6 linked regions of the Tribolium castaneum genome follow. The protein of the gene in region 6 purifies or fractionates together with the protein of the main gene of each other region. This does not show direct contact. Links are inferred from orthologs where the notes say so. Each region holds a gene or a part of one and is shown on either strand. Other genes may lie near its edges.

Region 1 (4,199 bases), on a different chromosome or scaffold from region 6:
GTCGATTCCGTTCCCGAATAGTGAGAAAGAGTTCACACTTCCCGATTCCGACTTCGGTTCCCTCATTGTGAAGAAGGAAGAGGACAAGAAATTGGCGCAGAAAGGGCGCGAAACGCCCAAGTCGCTCAAGGAATTGCGAAAAGATGAAAAGACTCCTGTGAGGAGCAGTAAGGAGGTGCCAAGGCGTGATAGTAAAGACAGTAAGGACAAAACCCCAGTGAGTGCGAAAAAAGAAATCAAGAAAGAGGCTGAAAAGAGTAAAAGTAAAGGTAAGAGTAATAGTAGTACACCAAGGGAGGAAAACAAGGCAAAAGCGAAAAGTGACGACACACCAAAACTGACGAAGCGCCCTACTAGAGGCAGCTCTAAACCTGACGATTCCAGTTCGAGTGGTAAATCTAGTCCAATCACAGTCACACCACCAGTGACAAAAAGGCGACGCATTTAGTTTCTTTCTCACTTTATTAAAATTAATAAAAAGTGCCTCAATAAATTACGTAAAACACGATGCAACTCGGAGCAACATCACCTCTCAAGGCGGCAGAAAAACGCATGTTTCGATTCGCTTGTCTCGCGTAAATACTTATCATAAAAATTCAAAACGACTGCTTCCACCTTAAAACCGAACTTTTGGTACAAAAACAAGGCCGGGTTGTTGATGGACACGTGTAGTGTGATATCTTTGCCGAGACTTGTCTGAAATAATTAATTAACCAACTAGTTTAATAAAAATCGACTTTTCAATTACTTGGATTAAGTGATACAACATGAACTTTCCAATCCCGACGTTTCGCCATCCTGGCCGTGTAAAAATAAAAGAGACGTAATTTTCGGTGTATTTAACATTGGGGACGAGGAACGCAAACGCCACTATTAATTTTTTGTACAAAACTACGCAACTAAAATCCGGATATTGCAAACTTTCAGTTACTGCAACAAAAAATTAAATTGTGTTGTAACATTTCGGACACTTACGATCGATTCCTGGCCAAAAAAAGTTGTTGCAGAGACTGTTAATGGCAGGTATGTGCTCAGGTTGGACGTAGGTGTAGTCAATAGGGGCCCTTGGAGGTAGAACGTAATTTTGTGTTTTTTCGTTTGCTTTCATTTGTATCTCGGCCATTAGGCGTAGCCAGGATGGATAAGTTTCTGTATCTCTTCGTATGTAAGGTTTTAAATAAATGCTGCTGTAAGGTGAGAGAATTAGTTCTTTTCTGATACCACCCATCAACCTGACTCTCATTTCGCTTCCTTTCTGCCTAAACGCGTCTAAAATTATTTTTGGAGTAAATTCTTAAGCCCTGGGACTATGGGGGACCAAAATATTTGGTGGCATGACGAAAAATCGAGCAAATTTTAAGCGCAAAATAACCTTTTGGAATTGGTACTTGGGCAGATTTTTTTATTCAATTATGACCTTTCTTAACTTAACTTAATTTCTCAACTTTTTCAATAAATCAGAATCTTTACAATATTTACAAAAATCTCGTCTTGCCTCCTAGCTTTAGTCCTGCACACCTCTCACTTGACTTACTGCTAAAGCAAGTGTTGTAGTGACAAAACGGGTCGAGCAATTTCACAGACTCCTTATTTTGCTCACTTGGGGGCTTATTACGTGGCTGAGCTTCGCCCAAATTTCGCTCGTTTTGTTTGAGATAAGTTGGCGTTAATTCATCACCTAAGTTTGAAAAAACCGGCGAGTTTTTATTCATTTTTAAGAGTCTAGAATTGCATTGTTATGTTGTGACTTTGAACAGAAAAACTTACTTTTTGGACGTGCTCTCAAATGTTGGTAAAAGACTTTTTCTTTTATTTACGGTAAAGTTTTTAGTAATCTACAAACAATGGATGATTTGTAAGTTCAAAACGTAACAAATTGTACCTTTTTATTGGTTTCATCGTCTGGATTTTTTTCCGAAAAGTTGGGAACATCGACAGTGAATAAAGGCGTTAGCAAATCATCGTCTTTGATGTTTTTGTGTAAAATTTGTGTGAATAATTCAGTGTCTGAGACTGATATTTTTAAAATTTTCGTTTTTTGCTTCTCGTTCGTGAGAGCAGCATCTGGAATTATACTTTCACTCCTGATTTTTTAATTATTATTTCACTCAATTACATAAATTTGAAATTACGTTAGGGGTGAGTTTGGGGTAGGTGAGGGCCCACCAAGCCGGTTCATTAACGACCGAAGTCCCCGACTTGAAAAAATACGTACTGAAGTGCGATAAAGTCCCAGCAACGGTCCCAACCCATTTTTTTTTCTTTTTACTACAAAAACCAACAATTACAAATATGTGATAATCAAATGTTGGAACTTACAAATCCTTCAAAAACAGACTCTCCCAGTTTTTGTCGATTAGTGACGCTATGTGGTTCCTCCAATGGAAGTACCCCTTGCGCCCCAAACCCGGACTTCGTGACTGCAAATGATACAAAGCCAAAACTAATACTTTTAACCTAAAAGAACTCGTCCACGGAACGCCCTAAATACCTACTACATTTCTAATTACCAAGACATTTTCTCCCTAACAAACGACTCGGACCCGGCCTCCGAACATTCCTCACAAGTGAATGTGAAAAAAATATCGCCGTGAAGCCCCCCAGGCACACAACCACTTTTGAGACACCGCAAATGAACACTTTGCGAACATGAACTGCACGTTAGGCCTTCGTCGAGACAATCTTCCAATTTATTTGTGCAATATTTACAGATTTTGCAAGTTTCGCTCATTTTTGGATTGTAAACACAACCTCACTTCGAGATTATTGTCACGTGATTGACGTCCATAATGGCGGGTTTTTGAAAAAAATGGACGAAAATTATGTAAAATTGCATTTATTGTAACATCAGTCTTGGGAGGGCTCCGCCGTGACGGCCTCTCGATTCTCGTAGGCCCAAAAGCGGTGAAACTCGATTAAAATACTGACAAAAGTGTCCCCTTGCCCACAGGCGATTAAATCATTCAGGGTGATTTTTTCCGGATCTTTAGGCCTGACCATGTCAAACAGTTCGTCTTTAACGTCCTCAAAGGACACAGCTTCGGCCCCATGGGCCCTCATCTGCTCCTGAATCGCTCGGAAAAAATAATTTAAAGTGAAAGAGTCCAAGTAGCCTTGATTATTTATGTCTAAGATGCGGAACAAAAAAGCAAGAGCTTGTGGTTCGGCACGATTTTCCAAAGCTAGTACTAGATCTAGATAAGTTTTGTAGTCCATTTCACCGGAATAAGTCAAAAGCGTTTGAAAAACGCGGTCTAGAAAGGGCTGCGTTAAAGTCCCAGAGCCATAACCCGCAAGTTCAGATTTATTCAACATTCCGTTGTGATCACGGTCAAGATTTAGATAATGTCCGTAAATACGTAACGTTGAAGGGGCACTAAACCAATTTTGTTCCTGCACCTCTTTACTCAACTCCTCGTCCCTCAATTCGAGTAAATCATCAAGGAACGAACAAGCTAAAATGTCTAAAATCCGCACACGACCCGCACGCACTCCATCGAGGAAAAACAGAAATTTCCGAACGGCCGTACACACGTAAAAACTATAAAACGACTTTTCCAGTCCCTCAAGTTGCGGCAAAGTTGGCAACAACTCAGTGATATAATTCTCCAAGTCGATTTCAGTCAAGTAACCCTGTCCCGTACTATCATACAGCGATAACCCGATCCTGGTCTGCTGTAGCCACACTTTACGCATCACGTAGTTAAAAAGCGACATGATCGAGACTCTGCCCTGGGGGTCACCCTGTTGGAGCTTCGCAAACACGACCGAAGTGAAGTAGGGCTTGACTTTGGGCCCCACCAGCGTGACCACCTTCTGATAATCGGAGTACGTTATCAACTGTTCCTCGGGGTAGCTCTGGTTCTGGTCCAAAATCACCCACAGTTCCTTCAATTCGTTGTTATCCAACAAGTTTTGACTTTTACGTTTCAGTAAATTGGAGCGGCTCTCCTCGCGCAGTTTTTGCCTTAGGGGCTCATCTTCTTTCGGTAATTTATTGTAAAAACGCGGAATGCCCGTGGTTTCGTTCGGTGGTTTGTCACAATATTGCTTCATGTAGTGTTGGAAGTACTCGTCTTCTTGTTGCTCCAACTCGGGGGGCGACTTTTTCGCACCTGGCAAAATTACCAGTCGAAATTTTAACTAAATGAATTAATTTTTACCTCCACTTTTCGTTATTTTTTCCCGCAGTAGTGTTT
Region 2 (3,622 bases), on a different chromosome or scaffold from region 6:
CTTCACTGTTCGTTGTAGCTTCAAAAAAGACGTCCTAATTTTACACTTGACTGCGCTGGTGGAAGTGGTCATTTCGGGGCTCTTGTCGGTGCTTTTCACGCACCCGTTCGGCGAGTTCCAGGTGCGGAACTGCAGAGTGCGCAGCTTGGCCGATTGGTACACTTTGTTGCATAATCCGGCCCCGGATTATGAGAAGAGGGTGCATTGTACCCAGGAGGCTGTGTATCCCTTGTAGGGCTACTAATTGATTATACTACTTTATTGAGTGTTTTTGTTTTAGGTATACGCTAGTTTTTATTTTTTATGCCCTGACTTTGATTGTTATGCTTTTGATAAGGCCATGGGTTTGCCGGAAATACCTTCCAAGGCAGAGCAAAATGTCGATTTATGCCGCCATGTACTATATACCGATTTTGGTGGTGGTCCATGCCCTAATTGGGGGACTTCTTTGTACGTAATGATTGCGCCAAAAATCACACTTTTGATTGGTTTTGTTCCAGATTATGCGTTCCCAATTTTGGTCGTTATTTTGTCAGTTATTTCGTGTGCTTATCACTTTGCCCTCAAAATCAACCAATCGATTCCCTCACTCATCATAACAACAGTTGTAGACCCGAGAAATGTGGTAATCTTAGTGGGCCATTGGTGTTTACACGCCTATGGTTTAATTTCAATAACTCAGCTTAGTGACCCGACTTTTCACTCATTGTTGCTACTGTTGGTCCCACTGCCGGCTTTTTTTTACATTTTCACGGCCAGGTTTACCGACCCGACAATATTTACGTAATTTATTTTTTAATAATAATAATAAACTAAAAACAGATTTATTTTTTCTCCTCCTGAACCTTCCGCTCCAAATCGCTAATTAGCGAATCGATTTCCTCAACTGAGAAAACCTTCTTCTTCACAAATCTATTGTTTAAGTGGCTTTTGTCCTAAAAATTTCACTAAAAAGGGAGGGAAATCTCTCAAAAAGCTTACCCAAAAATTGATATATTCGGGCGAAATCGTTTCAAGGAACAATATCCGGTCTTCTAGTTTCTTCAAACGGGTGTAGATATTTTTCGGGGTTGGGGTGGTCAAACTGAGTTGGATTTCCAGGTTTTGGAGGCGCTCCTCAATGCCGTTTTGGGGGATGTATTTGGTCAGGTAGTCCGAATTTGTTTGGTCGCGGTGGTAAGTGTTCAAAACCCGACTTACTGCAAAAAAATTAGTCTGAAATACTTGTTTTTCGAAAATCGTCCGAAAAGTAGCACTTTTCCCCGACATTTTTTGCTAAATTTATAGAGGGTTAGTCTGTTAAAAATATATTTCTCGTGTTGACCGTGCAGTTTCTTTGCTCTTTTTTTTCAGTCAATTTTTACTCGGCGCCATGGCCTCCTTGATGTATTATTTTTAACGAAGTTGTCTGCATACATCAAGGAGGTCATGCTCGGCACATTTGTGTCCTGTCCGTAAAGTCTTAATTTTTTCGTTAATTTTTTTATTTTCAGATAAAAATGTGTTCTCTAAACATTAATGAAAAATGTCTGGTGCCAAATAGAATAACCCTGTGCAGTTGTATACTTTTAGCAGACTTGTAAAAATTGGAATAAAAATCGTAAAATTGTGATTTTTTAAGGGCCACGAACCTTGCAAATGGCCATTGGAGTCTTTGCGTTTTTGCAAAACCGCATCGACTCGGGCGCAAGTGAACTCTGAACTTCGATTACTTGTGCAAAACTCTCTCACATTGCTTATGTTGATTTCGTTTCGCTTCATCTCCATAAAATTCTCGATTCGTTTGCTCAAGTCCGCGTTTGAGGCCTTGATTTGAATCAAATGGGGCGAAACGTTGGGAATTTCGACTTTGGGCTCGATTTCGAGCTTGAATTTTTTCGGTTTGGGGGCTATAAATGAGAGCCAATCAATTTTAGACTTTATTTACTTGACCACCCACATTCTTTATTTTCCTTCCACTGTGGAGGAGTTTCAGTTTCAGCGTAAATCTCCTTTTTCCAAATAGGCACACTCTCTTTAACCTTGTTGATGCACCAGTCGGTGGCTTGCAGCGCCTCGGTACGGTGGGGGGACGCGATTGCAATTACAATGCTAGCCTCCTTGACCCCCACAACCCCCAGTCTGTTAAACAAAAAAAAATCAAAATTTGGCCCCAATTTAAATTTTTCAAACCTGTGATAGATTGCGATATTTTCGACTTGAGGCCACTTGGCCCTGATCTCCCCGCACACTTTTTCGAGACACTTCAAAGCCATGGCTTCGTACGCCTCGTACTCCAATTTAAGGACGGTTTTTTCCCCGAAACTGTCTCTGGTGGTCCCCATAAAAACCGAGACTGCGCCACATTTCGGCGAGGCGACTAGATCAGTCAACGCCTCAACACTTAGCTTGTCTTCGGTGAATTTCAAAAAATTCATTTTGGGGCCCTAACCGCCACTCAGAGGTGGGATTATTGCTACTTCGTCGCCCTGTTTTAACACAATTTCGACACTTTCCACGTCGCAAAACTCCTCATTGAGGGAGAGAATAATGTTTTGGGCAATTTCGGCCAAAAAATACGTGCCGACGAGTGTTTCTAAAAGCTTTTTGTAGGAGATGGGGGACGGCAGGTCAAGTTCGGCGGATTTTTGGCCCACGATTTCTCTCGATTTAGCGAAAAACAACACTTTGACGGTCACTAACATATCATAGTGTTGTTGCGCTTACATAATCACCGAATTGAAGCAAAATAATTACTTTTATCACTACTCTGTTTATATTTGAAACGACATATTTAGAGCGCAAGTTGTCAAATTTTTAACCTCACTTTCTTACGAATAAAATGCAATTAAAAATCTTTTTTTCGAATGCTTTGGAAGCTGTTTCCTTTTTTCCTGACAAGAATGCTCTAAACCTAATTTGCTGGACAAATTAGTTAATAATTTGACTAATTAGAGCAATCCTTAAATGTATTGCTAATTGTTTTTTTACAGCCGTAAAAAAAGGTCCCAATGGCTGTTTGTCCGAACATGATTTTTTACAGTCGAAGGCCCTAACGAAGGGCTTAATTTCCTGCAAAAATAAAGAACATTGCAGGATATAACGGGGGTGAAAAAAAAAAACAAAATAATTAAAAACGTAACGAGAACAGCTTGTTTTATTTAAACTTGGGCAATTATTGCCCCCGAAAATGCGCTTTGCTATGACAACAATTGTTTGATCAATCAAACGTTATGGAGTCGCTCCAAAGGCCCCAAATAATCTGCCACGTGCAGCAAGCCCTGAACTACACCGTCCACGACGTCAAGTGGATCCCCTGTTCCGCGAAATTCGTCTCAATCGGGGGCAAATCAAACGGGGCTGGAATTATCGAGACCTACTCAATCAGTGGTGATGGGATCGAAAAAGTGGCCGAATTCGGCAAGAAAGACCACTTTAAATGCGGCACGTTTCACGCCTCGAGTTTAAGAGACCGCCACCTTGCGACTGGCGACTTCAGCGGGCGGTTACAAGTCTGGTAAGTCGTCCAAAAGTTGGCCAAAATTTTTAAGTCTCGTAGGGATTTGGAGGAGAATTTAATCCCGATTTATAAGACGGAGAAGCACCGCGGGGTCATTAACGCCATTGATGGAGTTGCGGGGGT
Region 3 (2,645 bases), on a different chromosome or scaffold from region 6:
CCTGATTTTTGGACCTAAGAGAGTTAGATAATGGGAGGAATTCAGGATGAAATGGTTGAATACGATTAAGGGTCAAAGAAGTTCAGAATGTTTCAGAAATAGATAGATTGTTTCGTTTTTAGTCTATCGGAATTGAGAATTGTGAAGGAGAAGCAAGGAATTTCATTTTTTGTTTCGTTCAACATTGTTTTCTGTTGGAATAAAACCTTTTCACTAGTCAGTGTTTTATAAAAAATGGATTAAAATTAAAGATACAAAACCTAACATAATTCAGGGATCAGTCTGCATCTTCAAAATCCTCATCCTCGTTGCCATTCCGGTAGCTGTACTGGACGTCGACTGAGTTGTTTTGTAGCCTTTCGGCCAAACTGTCGACAACTGCGTCCCCAATCTGCTCAGACTCTGCTTCTATAAACATTTCTTCTTCTGCGTCCGCGAATAAATTATCATCGTCCTCGTCGTCAACATCGGCAGGATCGGGATTGAGTTCTTGGCAAATTTTTATAGCCTCGTAAATACTTTGTACATGTGTGGGGTTTTCGGGGGCTAAAATCAGCTCCGAGAGGTCTGGCTCTGACTCAACGTCACTGTCATCATTTGCGGGCCTTTGGTCAGTTTCTCCTACAAAACGACGCACAATAAACCAAATTTTGCGCAAAAAATTACAAACCAAACAAATTTATGTGGGGGTCAGTCAAAATATAAATACACTCCCTCTCGCACACGTTGGGGTCTTTGGACACCGCATGGAGCGAGACGTTGTAATATTCAATTGAAAAACCCGTAGTCCCGTCTTTTTGCCAACTGAGTGTCCTGTAATTTAACACAATGTATTTTTCGTTTGGTTTTGCCATAATTGTGTTACCTTTCGCTCACAAATAGGGTTCCGGTGCCCAGATCACGTTTATCCAAAATCACCACAACGTTTGACTGCTCGAGTCTTATAGGAGATTCTGGTGGTTTAAACGACGTGACCACAACCATTCTTCCTCCACTTTTTTTCGCAAAACGTGTTTATTTTTCAAAATTATTGTAACCACAAACTATGGCGCTTGACGTTTAACTTGGGGATTTTTATTTTCTTTTGGCGGCGTTGTGAGCTAAGGACCAATCACGGGCTGGTATTTTGAACCGGCTGTGTTTGATTGGGGAAAAAAACCTGTTATTCTGTGGGGAAAATATTTGTTGTCAATTGAGGTTAGGTGTTTGTTGACAAAAACTGATGGATTCCCAAAAAACAACCTTTTGTAACGAAATCTCGCTGATGATGTTTGGGTTCGGCGACAGCCACAAGCCGAACCCCGAGACGGTGCGTTTGGTGGAGAGCATCGTGTTGAAGCAGCTCCGCATGATCGTCCAGGAAGCGCTGAAGTACTCCGATGGTAAGAACCTCAAAGGCAAGGAGTTGGTGTTCCTAATGCGGCACAATAAGCACAAAATGCGCCGCTTTTTCCAATATTTGAAAAACAAGCAACTCAAACAGCAACTCCAGTCGTTGAACTCGGGGGTCATTGAAATTGACAGAGATCCCATACCGAAGAACGAGCTAATGAAGTTTATCGAGTACATAGACGAGACGGGAGAATTCACCGATTTATCCGAAGTTGATGAAGTCAAACAGTCGAGGATGCTGAGGGCTGATCGCATATCTCAAGCCCTGGACGAGAAGAGGTATTTGGAGTTTTGCAAAGCGAGAGCCACCTCGTTTTGCAGTAGAGATATCACGGCCCGAAACTCCGAAAAATTAAGACAGTGGATTGACCCGAAAAAGGAAATTAATTTCAGCACTAATGCTATGGTGGTTTTGTCGTATTTGGGGTACCAGACAGTTGCTGAGATAACCGATTATGCGTTGCTTGTGAGGATGGAGGGCAAATGTGGGAGTGATCCACTGAATCATTTATACGGCAATTACTACACTTCTACGATGTTTAATGGGGATTATAGGATAGGGGCTAGTGGTAACAATCCAGACTATAGCAGGGTTTACAGTGGACAGCCCCCCATTAGTGTCAATGAAATTAAAGAAGTTATGAGAAGAATTCACTGTCCGCAAGCAGGGAAGCTGAATTTCGGGGGAAAACTACCAGACACGCATTATCTATTTGCTCTGTAATTTGTTCTAATAAAGTTTAATTTTTTAAACGGTCTTTTATTTATCCAAATATTACGCTGCAAAATTTATGTGCAGCGAATCCATTCTCGACAAATTTTTTACGAAAAAAATAGAGATTATGCAAGATGATATTGAAGCAACCGATGTTATAATTTCTCTCGCCAAACTCTGAAAACAAAGGTATTGGGGTCAGTCAAGTTAGCCTCTCACTTATTTTTTATAATTTGGATTGTTGTGCTAATGTTTTTATTAATTGTGCTTTTTCGAAACTAATCTTAGAGCTAAAGTCACTGCTAACCGTGCAATATTTTAATGTGTTTATGTATTTTTAAAATAAATAAATTTTAATACTTTCTTCAAAATTCTTTAATGTTTATCAGATGTTTTTGCCTATGGTTAAATTGTGTAAGGCATTTATTTTAACATATAATTTAAATTACTTAACTTTGGTGTGTTTTATCGTCATTTGTACTTTTTTGTACGTAATTTAAAAAATGTTTAAATAGGGAGACATTATCAGGTTCCCAAC
Region 4 (2,252 bases), on a different chromosome or scaffold from region 6:
TCAAGTCGAGACATTTGTGCGAAACAAACGATCTCAACTCACTTTTGGCACTTTTAATCAACAGTTCTTTAATTTCTTCCCTCGATTTTGTTTCCAGGGGCGGAGTCCCGGAATTCTGCACCCCAATGTCGATAAAATTCCGGGGCGAATTCACAGCAAACTGCAATTTTCTCTTAACTGTGTTTATAAAATTGTACGGATACGCCGCACAAGGGGGCTCCAGCCAGGGCGCCCCCTTGTCGCACGTTTGCGTCTCTTTCGCCTCAGACGACGTTTTCGCCAATTTCTGGGGCTCCCGGGCCTTGGCCCTCGAAATTCTCTCGCTTTTTTGCGTCTTTTCGGAGCCCTCAGAAACTTTTTGTGCGGGCGACTTCGAGCGGTCGATTTTCGGGGGGCCCCCCTTGTCCTGTGACTTCGGGCGGTTGGTTCGGACAAGGGGGCCCCCTTTCTCCCGCGCCTTCGAGCGGTCGATCCGGACAGGGGGCTCGCCCTTGTCCCGCGATTTCGAGCGTTCGCGCTTCAACTGCACGTTTTTTGTCACCAGCTCGAGTGTTTTCTGGTGTAATTCTTTCAGTTTTTGCTTTTTCAGATCGAGTTTATTGTCAGTGGTGTTGATTTGGGCCCGCAATTGTTCGGCGCGTTTTTCCCGCTGTTTTTTGATGTAGTTACGCGCCTCGGTGACGTCATAACTGCGGGGCTTTTTCTCGGGATCGGGGGGCGCCTTTTTTTTAACGGTTTGGGTATCAGGGGCTGGCTTGTGGGTGGGGGGCTCAGGGGGCTGGGTCCCAAGACTTATGAGCTTCTCTAGCTCGGTTTTGAGCTGTTCGATCTCTTTTTTTGTGTTTTTTACACGAGTGCTGACATTTTCCACTTGGCTTATGGACATTTCTGAACCCCCTTTTTTTAGCGAATTACGACTGGAAATTGATTAGACTGACGTACAATTCACGAATTGACCCACATTTGTGTTAATTTAGGTGAGAAAATGCAAAATTAACTCACCTTTTTCACATATTTTCAAAACGTCAACCGTTTATAACATAACCTCAATAACCAAGGCCAACAAGGGTGAATAGTTCAAGGCCCCCCACCAAAACTGCAAAAAACAGCCCCTAAAATAAACCACCCCATTCGTCACGAGCCCCCCAAGCTTAATTAAACAAAAAACACAAATTTATAATTATTAGGTGACCAATAATAAACAAATTAATGATTTTTTAATCAAAATTCAAACATGGCGGTTGGCATTGCGCATGCGCGTTTTTTGTTTTTGGTGGGAAAAGTAATTTTGTGAATTTTGTGACCAAATGGCCGAAAAACTGGAAGATTTGAATTTGCCGAACATGACGGTGCAAAAGATAATTAAAGACGCATTGCCTGAACACGTCAGTGTTGGTAAAGACGCCCGTTCGGCCCTGTCAAGGGCCGCTTCAATTTTTGTCCTGTACATAACCTCACAAGCCACCAAAGAGGCGCAAAAAGTGAACAGAAAGACTCTTCTGGGTCAAGACATTCTAACAGCGTTAGAAGAGCTCGAGTTTGACGAATTCGTGGAGCCCTTAAGTGTGATGCTGAGAGGTTAGTTTTTTTTTGAGGTTATGTTCACGTTTCAAAAACCGACTTCAGATTTCAAAGAAGCGAAGCAGAAGAAGAAAGTGAAGAAGGGGGCCGACGTTGAAATGGCGGAAGACAACGACGAGGAGGCCGTGGAAGAGGAAGAAACGGGAGAATCGTAATAAAAAATAAATTTTTTGTGATAGTTTTTTATTCATGAGAAAAAGTAACAACTGACTAGATTAAGGCCACAAATCGTGCAGAATTCACACTTTAGCAACACTGAGCAAAAAAAGTGACGGCAGTTGAACGAACTATGAAATTATTCTAATTTTGCGTTCGATTGAAGTCCTGCACATTGGACAGTCGTTCAAGGTCACAGGACACTGGGAACAGCAACAGAAGTGTCCACATGGCACGAAAATCACCTCACACTGCAAAAAAAAAACACCAAAATTCGCCTTAATTTGAGATAAACAACATACAGTTGAGTCCAAACAAATGACGCATTCAGTCCCCAAATTTGCGACATTTTCGAGTGGTGGCGCACTTGCCTCTTCGATTGGCAGCACTGGAGCTGAGGGGGCCGTATCGGTCGGTATTTGCTCCTTTCGGTACATTTGGAATGCGTCTAAAATGTGGACCCGGTCCGATTTATTCACAATTCCCACTTCTTTGAGGTCGCTTTCTGTGATTTT
Region 5 (4,258 bases), on a different chromosome or scaffold from region 6:
TGATGATTAATGAGTCTGTCTTTGTTTTTGTTGCATCTCACATCTTCAGTTTTTCTCTGAATTCTACCCCCCTAGGTAATGTTGGGCACAAAAATTGGGACAATGAGAGGAAATAAATAAGAAATATTGAATTGAAACGCTTTTATATTAATCAAAAAGATTCAACCAGTGAATTCTTGAATGACATGTTAAAAATCAAAGCGCATGCGCGCGCACTTTTTCAATTTGACAATTAACATTTAAAAAATCCAACAAAGAAGACGAAAAGTTCGAGGAAACTGTCCCACGTTATTAAAAGTACGGAAGGGGGTCATGGAGTAGGTAAATGTTGTTTTCAAAACGGCGCTGATGTTTTTTTGCAATAAGTGTTTGTGTCCACATTGGCGCTGGATGCTCCTAACATCAACAAATGAAGAAATCGTATCTAATATCCACTTCAGGGCAAAACACATGCAAAATTATTATTTGGTTTTGCTTTTGTGAGTATTTTTGACTTATGGTGATCAGGCCTTTCAAAAGGTGTTATCATTCAAAAAATTTTTGACGAGATTTGTAGATTGCAAACTCTTTTTGACTTATTTTTTAACATTCCATGTTTATCACTTTTGTGCCGCAGTAAATAAGTAAATACGGCACTACCTAAATCCAAATCAAACTACAACCCCTACACTCATATAACGTATTATTTATTTACAACTCAAATATTTTTACTTTTTTCCTCCCACTCTAGCCACCCCCCGGAATAATTCTTTATATCTTTGAACCCCAACTTCGTCGCAATCTCGGACGCAAGGGCACTACGTTTCCCCGAACGACACGAAAAAATTAAGGGGGTGCTAGAATCAGGTTTAGCCTTTTTGTAAGTTTTTTGAAATTGTTCAGAAGGCATGTCTTTTAACACTTTCTCGACTTCGCCAAGTGGAATATTGATGCTGTCAGGAATAACTCCGGTTTCCTGCAATTCGTGGGGCTCCCTGACATCGATTAGAAGAGTCTTAGGAGTCGTTTTTACTGACTTGACTTCATCAAATGAGGCGATTTGCGTTGCGAAAAGTCTAAGAAAGACGGGCGTTTTGTTCACAAGGGAGAGGATTTGGGGCCCCCTTGATAGCGACATTGGTAACCTAACCTAAAAAATAATTATGTAATTAACTTAATTGATTAGTTTTTGTAAAGTGAACTACCATAGCGCCAATAAAGCGATTTTTACTATTTTTTATCGCCTGTTTTATTAAATTACGACAGTTTTGGCAAAAATCAGTTTGGAGACTTTTTACAGTCACCGTTGGTATCACACAATTCACACAAAACAAATTAGAGGTCCCGTGGCTACAATCAAATTTTCCCCAATTATTTTTTTTTTCACGTTTTATGCCGATTGCGTTCGAATTACATAATAATTTCATAAATAATCGTCAAAAAACACCGCACTAGTAAAGTGCTAGTGCTTTAAATTTTGCCAGGTAGGCAGCGCTTGCCGCTCACATAACCTATGCACATAACCTAAGTTTTTGTGGTATCCAAACAGTTTTCGAAAAAATGGCAAACGCAAACACCGACTTAACCGAAGAAGACGCCGCTGACTTGCAGTTTCCCAAAGGTGAGCCCCCTTGTTTACTTCTCGTTCTCAACTGAGGTTTCAGACTGTGGCCCCCCTGCGTTTTACTCTAGTGACTCTGATAGTGTTTGTTCGAATTGTTCGTGCGATTTGGTCGCGCCTTACATTTATTGCGCTTTGTGTAAAGTGAATATTTGTTCGCTGTGTTTTTCGAAAGGTGCGGAGTTTGGGGGGCACAAGAACGATCACGATTATCACATAATCCGCGACGATTTTCCGGTTTGGGGTAACACGGACTGGACGGCTCGGGAGGAGGTGGTGTTGTTAGAGTCGTTACAAAAATACGGGAACTGGAATTTAGTGGCGAAAGAGTTCCCAAATCGGAGTGTGAGGGAGATTAGGGCGCACTACGATTGGTTTTATTTAGACAGAAAGGGGTCCAAAGACTTGCCCGAGGCGAGCAAAAGGGACTGGTTTTGTGAGCCGGTGGTGCCCTACAGACAGCGGATTAGCGACACCGATGAGCCCCCTCGCTACTCCCCCAACACAGTGGGGTACAAGTCTTTGGCCGGTTATAACCCCGCGAGGTCCGATTTCGAATGCGAGTTCGATTCGTCGGCTGAGGATCTGCTCTCGAACCTTAAACCGGTTGATAAGGACGATCCTCATTTTGACTTGATCACAAATCTTCAATGTGCGATCATTCAGAGTTATAACCGGCGGTTGAGGGAGCGCCAAAGGTGGAAAAAAATCATAAGAGAACACGGATTGATTATTCTGCGGAAAGTTTACGCTTGGCTTCATCGGTATGACGTTACGATTACACGTCCTGTGTATGAAAAACTGATCCGATTTATGCAATTTTGTACTCCTGTCCAGTTCGAAATGTTGATGGAGGGGTTACACCACAGCGGCGAACTCAAAATACAAATTCTTAGGTTCATATCAAACGGTTGAATTAATATAAAGTTGGTTATTTTCCATAATAGCGGCTTATTGAGTTCCAAAAAAACACGACGGAGAAAAAAATGTTCACTAAAGATTAATAAAAACAAAGAAAAATGTTAAAACATACTTCAACAGTTAGTGGCGTGACGAAAAATAATACAATTTGTATTTTGGAAAAAAAAACACTTGTAAAATTCGATGAAAAATTCTCAAACTCTTCAATATTCACGGAATTTTACAAAACATTGTGTTCAACTCGTAAGTTTTTTCCAGAAAGAATTCACTTTTTCTATCTCGTTGCACAAATAGCTATTTACAATGGAACCGTTTTGGTTTAAAAAAATCTCGCGAAAAAAGTTATATCACTCGCTAAATGCAGAATTAACATTTTTTTCAAACAAATCGGCGCTTCAACACTCGAAAAAGCAAATATAATGCTAATTTCGTTCTAATCGCAATTTTTTTGGCTTCTTTTTGAGCAAATGTTGCGAAATAAATGTGTTTTTATGGATGAACGTGGTAATAAATCTCATAAATAGTAAAATATTGTCATCTTCGAGCAGATTTTTTAAGCAAGTTTAGCAAAATTTCAGTAAAAATTGCGTTTTACCTTAAAAAAACGAGCTTTAAAATATGATAGTTAAGAATATAATTACATATATATTTAATTATTTTATTTATTTATATAATATATAATTGTTATTATTATTTATATTTTATTATATTAAATATAATTAAAAATATAATATAATAATAACAATTTGGTGATTACGTTTTTTGAAGAAATGCTAAACTTTCGAAAAAGGCAGAGTAATTAAATTAAATTTCTCGTTCAAAAAAGGAACTTAATTGAGCAAAGTAAACTAAAATAACCCCAATTTAGATTTAATTCTGTGAATTTCTAGCTAGAGAATTTTTAAACACTTTAATTTTTACCTTAAAACATGTATAAAGGCTCACAAAAAGCTGCAACATAGCATTAATTTTGGTCTTTAAAAATCTTCGGCTTGCAAAAGCAAAAGTTTTGACTTAATTTTGTGATTTTTTTGAGTAACATCTTTTTTTGATTGATTGACAAAACTCCTCATTTTTTGGCCAAGAAAAACGATCGACTTTTGTGTTATCTCCTCCTGGTTTATGCTTTTATGTCATTTTTAAACACAATTTAAAAAAAAATGCTAAAACACGTGAAATTGCAAAGTAATGTTTTTTGGCGAAATATCACAAAATAAGAATTTTCTAATTATGTTGTAATATTTTAGACGTGTTTTGGCAAGATTATCCAAACTAAATAAGTAGTAAATTTACCAATCCAAAGTAAACAACAACAATTTCGATTTAATTTGTGGATTTTCAGTTAGTTTTTGCAATTTTTTTTATTTTAAAACATGCCCAAAGATACGAAAACGACAACATTAACACAATTTTTGGTGTAATTGTAAGGTTAATAAAAATATATGAAAGAGAATTTTTAGCTAAAAACGAACTAAAAGGCTTTGAAGAATTTTTGACAGACAAAATTCTTCAAATAGCTGTAGCCTGACGAACAAGAAAAACGTTTGACTTAGTTTTGTGATATTATTGGTATTTCGTTCTAACAAAATCTTGCAAAAACGAAGTTACTTTACACATATTTCGGCAATTTTTTGAGAAATTTTTGCAAAGCTCGCAAAATAAATATTCTTTTATCTGGTTGAAAACCTTGGTTAAACATGAGACATAGCAAATAGTGCTACATTCGATCCAGTTCTC
Region 6 (3,586 bases):
GAAGGTGGCTCTGCAATGATTCCTCTATCGACTTTTCTCGATTTGTATGAGTTTTTAGCACGAATTGATGCTTCGTTGCCACAAACTTTGAAAAATTACTATTTTTTGGATAAGTTTCTCGAATTGTTTCGCGAGAAAATTGCCAAAGATTCAGGGGAAAAACCGGTGGAAGAGGAACTCGAAACGGATTTTATGAGCGAGATTGTGTCCGAAGTGACGGAAAAAAGTGAAAGGGAGACGAAAAAAGACGATGAGGGTTCGGTTGTTTCGTGTCCAAGTGTCACAAGTCAGGATCCGGACAACTACATGAAATTGTTGATGAAAATACGAGCCGAAGGCGAATTTGAAGAAAGCAACGAAGAAATAAAGGAAGAAACAGAAGAAAAGACGGAACCTGTTGATGAAGAAGTGAAAGAAGAAGAAGTTGAAGAACGTAAAGAATCGGTCGCTGTTTCCGAAAAAAAATTTCCGGAACAGTTGGCTGAAGACGAAAAAATTCCGCAATTTCCGGTTGAAGATGACCTTGTTTCGAAAAGTACGCGAATGTCATCAGCACCGAGTGAATCATTGAAGAAAGATGAAGAGGATTTGAAACAAGACACTTATCTTATGGAAGATTTGGCAAGACTTCGGGTAATTCACCGACTAGTCTACTAGGTTTTTCCCCGAAATAAATTCGGGTTTAGTCATTACAGGAAGCCATGATGGGTGAAAGTGACGACGAAGTTGAGAAATTCAAAGCTAGTATTTTAGCTGAAGCTGGTTTAACTCAATCACAAATTGATGCACCTGAACATTTTGAAACACGAATTGAGAGTGAAATTTTCACTAATGAGTCACTTAAAAGTTACGAAACGTCGACAAGTGAACCGTCCGTCAAGGAAAAAGCGCCAGAAGTAGAAAAAAAAAGTGGGAAATTTTTTTTTATAATTGTTTTAGATTGAGTATGAGGATGTGTTCGTGGATCCAGTTCCAGGAATCGGGCCGAAAGTCCCCGAAAATTTAATTTTGGCCGTTTGTAATTACATGAAAGATGTGGCCAAGTGGCAACATGACATGGTTATGCCGAGGAATATACGGCATTTTGATCGCCCGCCTTTAGAAATTCGAAATCAATAAAAATTTTGCACCGTTTTTTTTTTGATACATGGTACTGCCCAAATCTTAATCATATTTAATCACGTTTCAGTGCGTCCAGTAATCAATTAATAATTATTTGTGCCTCCAGGTGTATCTACTTGATTAGTAAATAAAGCCCTACGTTTCGGAAACACGTATTAAATTTTCCCCCTTTATGTTCGATTTAGTTTACAGTTTCCTGTAATTCAAGTGTCAATTTTTATGTATCGATTGTCAACAAACAACAAAATTGTGTGAAATTGGCTAAAATAACATTGATGATTAACATTTTGCATGTTCTTTGTGCCTAAAGCGTGATATGAACAACCCCAAACGCCACCTCATGTCAAAAAACGCCCCCCGAGGGGGCAAAGCGAAAGACGCCCCCTCGTCCTCCCGTCACGACTCCATCCCTCCTGACACCGAAAACTTCATAAACACCGTCCCTTTGATCCGTCAATGCGACAACACGAAGCTTTTGCCCCGTTTTTCATCCAGTAATCAACCCTAACCTAACGTTTTGCCCCTTTTGATTAATGAGCAAGTTTTTAGTTTTGGGGCGCACCGAAGACGATGGAGTGAACATGGACGACCTTGATCAACTTCAACTCGACCTTGAGAAGTTAATTTCGACGTGTGCTGTGCGTAACCGGTTTTTAAGGGGCGAAATCGAATCGATTGATCGAGTTGAGGAAAAAAGAGACAAAAAGGGCAAATCGTATGATAAAGGGGGGCTCAAACGGAAACGGCCCGATGATAAGGCCAAGTATCGTGATTTGAAAGGGGGCGCACGCCCCCTGAAACGTCATTATCCACTTCCGGTGGATGTGCCCTTGAGGCATGAAATGCCCAAAATTAATTTACCCAAGAATGATACTTCGGATAAGTTTTGGGCGACTGTGGAGCCCTATTGCGCCCCCGTTACGAATTCACACGCTACGGTTGATTGATTTTTTCAATTTTATAATTATGTATTAACAAAAAAAATTTTAGTTCCTCGATAAATTAATCGAGGAATGTTCGCAAGAAATTGATGTAAAAATACCCGATTTGGGCGAATATTACGCCAATGAGTGGTCAGATAATGCAACCGGAGTGGAACAAGAATTGGGGCTAACCTCTAAAACAGTTGGCCTTGATTTGAAAAAGAACGGTTTGAGTGCGTAAGTATTTTTTATCAAGTCATAAAGTTCAAAAAAATTTACAATCAATCAATAGAATGGTTGATTCATTTTCAAACCCGAAAACTCAACGCCTATTGGCCGCCTTGATTGAGGAGAAAGTGATGACGTCATTTCCGGGTGTTACTGGGAAACTCAAACGTAATAAAATCACATTTGTCGTAACTTCAAACTCATTTAATTCACTTTTAAAGCGTCCGATTTGAATATAATCAAGTCAGCTGGTGGTCCACGTGCTGCCATATGTATGGATCGCCGCCTTAAGAAAGATTTAGTCGAACAAGGATTATTAAGTGTTGAGGATTTATCTAAAACAATGCCCGACGATGAGATTTTACAAGAAATAAAAAAATGTCAACAAGAATTGACAGCTGTCAATGAGTATAATGTTGAGGAATTGAAACGTTTGAAAGCTATAGTTGTCAAAGATTTGAAACGGCAAGAAATCAAAGCAGCTCTGGATGTAGTAGATGGCGAAGTTTGTTGATTGGTGTTACCATGGTAACAAAATTAAAACACCTAAAATTTCAGGTTTTGGAAGTTTATAATAAGGTGTTAATGACCAAACAGAAGCAAATCCAGCAGGCCAAGGATGAAGATTTCGATAAAGCCGCCTTTACAAAAAGTTTGAAAGAATTTGAAGTGAAGACACATGTCTTGTTGGAAACGCAGTTTAAGTTTCAGAAAGCTTTGGCGGAATTGCAGGAATAAAAAAAACACCAGTTTTAAGTCTTACATTATTATTATTATTATTTTTGACACATTAATTTACAAATTAGTCTGGTATTTGGTGTTTAGAGTTGTTTTCTTTTTCCTCAATTGTCTAATTAACACTCCTAATTAAATAATTGAAAAACACCGATAAATCAATTTGTACTTGGGAGAGATATTCATCAAAAAATGCTTTTTTCGTTTCGTTTGGTTGGTAAAAAATCACTCTTTTGAATATTCAAATTGGCACCACTGGTGGTATATGAAACGAATGAGTCAATAGTGCCAACCTGACAATCACAATTGTGCGATGAGATGAACTTAACCTATAAAAAAAGTATATTGCGAACATGAATACTACCAACGGCTAAAATTGATTTTCCCTAAATATTTATATAAAAAACAAATCGTAATAAATATGACGCAACAGAACAACAACAAAAAAAATATATCGCTTAATCCTACAAAATTATCACATTTACATTCTATACAAATGATTATCATCATGGATTTTTTTGTCCTGAAATTTTGATTACTATTACATTGTGTCAACATACAAATTCAATACGCGATGT

The links.
Region 1: the proteins of Ada3 (region 6) and Atac2 purify together in Drosophila melanogaster (affinity purification with mass spectrometry; 4 studies listed by BioGRID). This does not show direct contact. The link is inferred for Tribolium castaneum from reciprocal best matches to the Drosophila melanogaster genes Ada3 and Atac2.
Region 2: the proteins of Ada3 (region 6) and Mocs2B purify together in Drosophila melanogaster (affinity purification with mass spectrometry; 3 studies listed by BioGRID). This does not show direct contact. The link is inferred for Tribolium castaneum from reciprocal best matches to the Drosophila melanogaster genes Ada3 and Mocs2B.
Region 3: the proteins of Ada3 (region 6) and Spt3 purify together in Drosophila melanogaster (affinity purification with western blotting; 3 studies listed by BioGRID, with this or other methods). This does not show direct contact. The link is inferred for Tribolium castaneum from reciprocal best matches to the Drosophila melanogaster genes Ada3 and Spt3.
Region 4: the proteins of Ada3 (region 6) and DNA polymerase epsilon subunit 3 purify together in Drosophila melanogaster (affinity purification with mass spectrometry; 3 studies listed by BioGRID). This does not show direct contact. The link is inferred for Tribolium castaneum from reciprocal best matches to the Drosophila melanogaster genes Ada3 and Chrac-14.
Region 5: the proteins of Ada3 (region 6) and transcriptional adapter 2-alpha purify together in Drosophila melanogaster (affinity purification with mass spectrometry; 5 studies listed by BioGRID, with this or other methods). This does not show direct contact. The link is inferred for Tribolium castaneum from reciprocal best matches to the Drosophila melanogaster genes Ada3 and Ada2a.

What each region holds. Positions count from the first base shown.
Region 1 is NC_087396.1:22,635,598-22,639,796, reverse strand, and holds Atac2 (cysteine-rich protein 2-binding protein), read right to left. Parts: upstream 2,801-4,199; 5' UTR 2,732-2,800; coding exon 2,511-2,731; intron 2,458-2,510; coding exon 2,320-2,457; intron 2,269-2,319; coding exon 2,117-2,268; intron 2,065-2,116; coding exon 1,883-2,064; intron 1,836-1,882; coding exon 1,768-1,835; intron 1,723-1,767; coding exon 1,535-1,722; intron 1,270-1,534; coding exon 976-1,269; exon of another isoform or gene 931-975; coding exon 749-930; exon of another isoform or gene 697-748; coding exon 526-696; 3' UTR 449-525; downstream 1-448. Other genes in the region: MrgBP (MRG/MORF4L-binding protein), read left to right, coding at 1-448; serine/threonine-protein phosphatase 2A regulatory subunit B'' subunit gamma, read right to left, coding at 2,848-4,115, 4,164-4,199.
Region 2 is NC_087396.1:21,505,853-21,509,474, reverse strand, and holds Mocs2B (molybdopterin synthase catalytic subunit), read right to left. Parts: upstream 2,418-3,622; coding exon 2,173-2,417; intron 2,122-2,172; coding exon 1,940-2,121; intron 1,890-1,939; coding exon 1,632-1,889; intron 1,200-1,631; coding exon 982-1,199; intron 936-981; coding exon 825-935; 3' UTR 788-824; downstream 1-787. Other genes in the region: JNK1/MAPK8-associated membrane protein, read left to right, coding at 19-231, 281-450, 501-787; Mocs2A (molybdopterin synthase sulfur carrier subunit), read right to left, coding at 2,427-2,684; Wdr92 (dynein axonemal assembly factor 10), read left to right, coding at 3,213-3,496, 3,539-3,622. UniProt on the Drosophila melanogaster protein: Catalytic subunit of the molybdopterin synthase complex, a complex that catalyzes the conversion of precursor Z into molybdopterin.
Region 3 is NC_087394.1:28,289,673-28,292,317, forward strand, and holds Spt3 (transcription initiation protein SPT3 homolog), read left to right. Parts: upstream 1-1,198; 5' UTR 1,199-1,222; coding exon 1,223-2,116; 3' UTR 2,117-2,145; downstream 2,146-2,645. Other genes in the region: Upf2 (regulator of nonsense transcripts 2), read left to right, coding at 1-31; icln (methylosome subunit pICln), read right to left, coding at 278-621, 671-813, 866-984; uncharacterized protein LOC103312536, read right to left, coding at 2,168-2,284. UniProt on the Drosophila melanogaster protein: Component of the transcription regulatory complex SAGA, a multiprotein complex that activates transcription by remodeling chromatin and mediating histone acetylation and deubiquitination. The SAGA complex predominantly acetylates histone H3.
Region 4 is NC_087394.1:1,508,981-1,511,232, reverse strand, and holds DNA polymerase epsilon subunit 3, read left to right. Parts: upstream 1-1,235; 5' UTR 1,236-1,307; coding exon 1,308-1,578; intron 1,579-1,626; coding exon 1,627-1,736; 3' UTR 1,737-1,752; downstream 1,753-2,252. Other genes in the region: centrosome-associated protein 350-like, read right to left, coding at 1-886; E3 ubiquitin-protein ligase LRSAM1, read right to left, coding at 1,869-1,988, 2,040-2,252. UniProt on the Drosophila melanogaster protein: Accessory component of the DNA polymerase epsilon complex. Participates in DNA repair and in chromosomal DNA replication. Histone-like protein which promotes nucleosome sliding of ATP-dependent nucleosome remodeling complexes.
Region 5 is NC_087398.1:11,844,522-11,848,779, reverse strand, and holds the start of transcriptional adapter 2-alpha, read left to right. Parts: upstream 1-1,458; 5' UTR 1,459-1,539; coding exon 1,540-1,600; intron 1,601-1,643; coding exon 1,644-2,496; intron 2,497-4,258. Other genes in the region: rhodanese domain-containing protein CG4456, read right to left, coding at 698-1,129, 1,185-1,187. UniProt on the Drosophila melanogaster protein: Component of the histone acetyltransferase (HAT) complex ATAC; predominantly involved in acetylation of histone H4, including at Lys-6 (H4K5ac) and Lys-13 (H4K12ac).
Region 6 is NC_087401.1:17,517,297-17,520,882, forward strand, and holds Ada3 (transcriptional adapter 3), read left to right. Parts: upstream 1-1,284; 5' UTR 1,285-1,438; coding exon 1,439-1,616; intron 1,617-1,671; coding exon 1,672-2,060; intron 2,061-2,112; coding exon 2,113-2,282; intron 2,283-2,337; coding exon 2,338-2,441; intron 2,442-2,494; coding exon 2,495-2,778; intron 2,779-2,831; coding exon 2,832-3,011; 3' UTR 3,012-3,086; downstream 3,087-3,586. Other genes in the region: uncharacterized protein LOC103313297, read left to right, coding at 1-633, 687-896, 940-1,119; uncharacterized protein LOC656520, read right to left, coding at 3,550-3,586.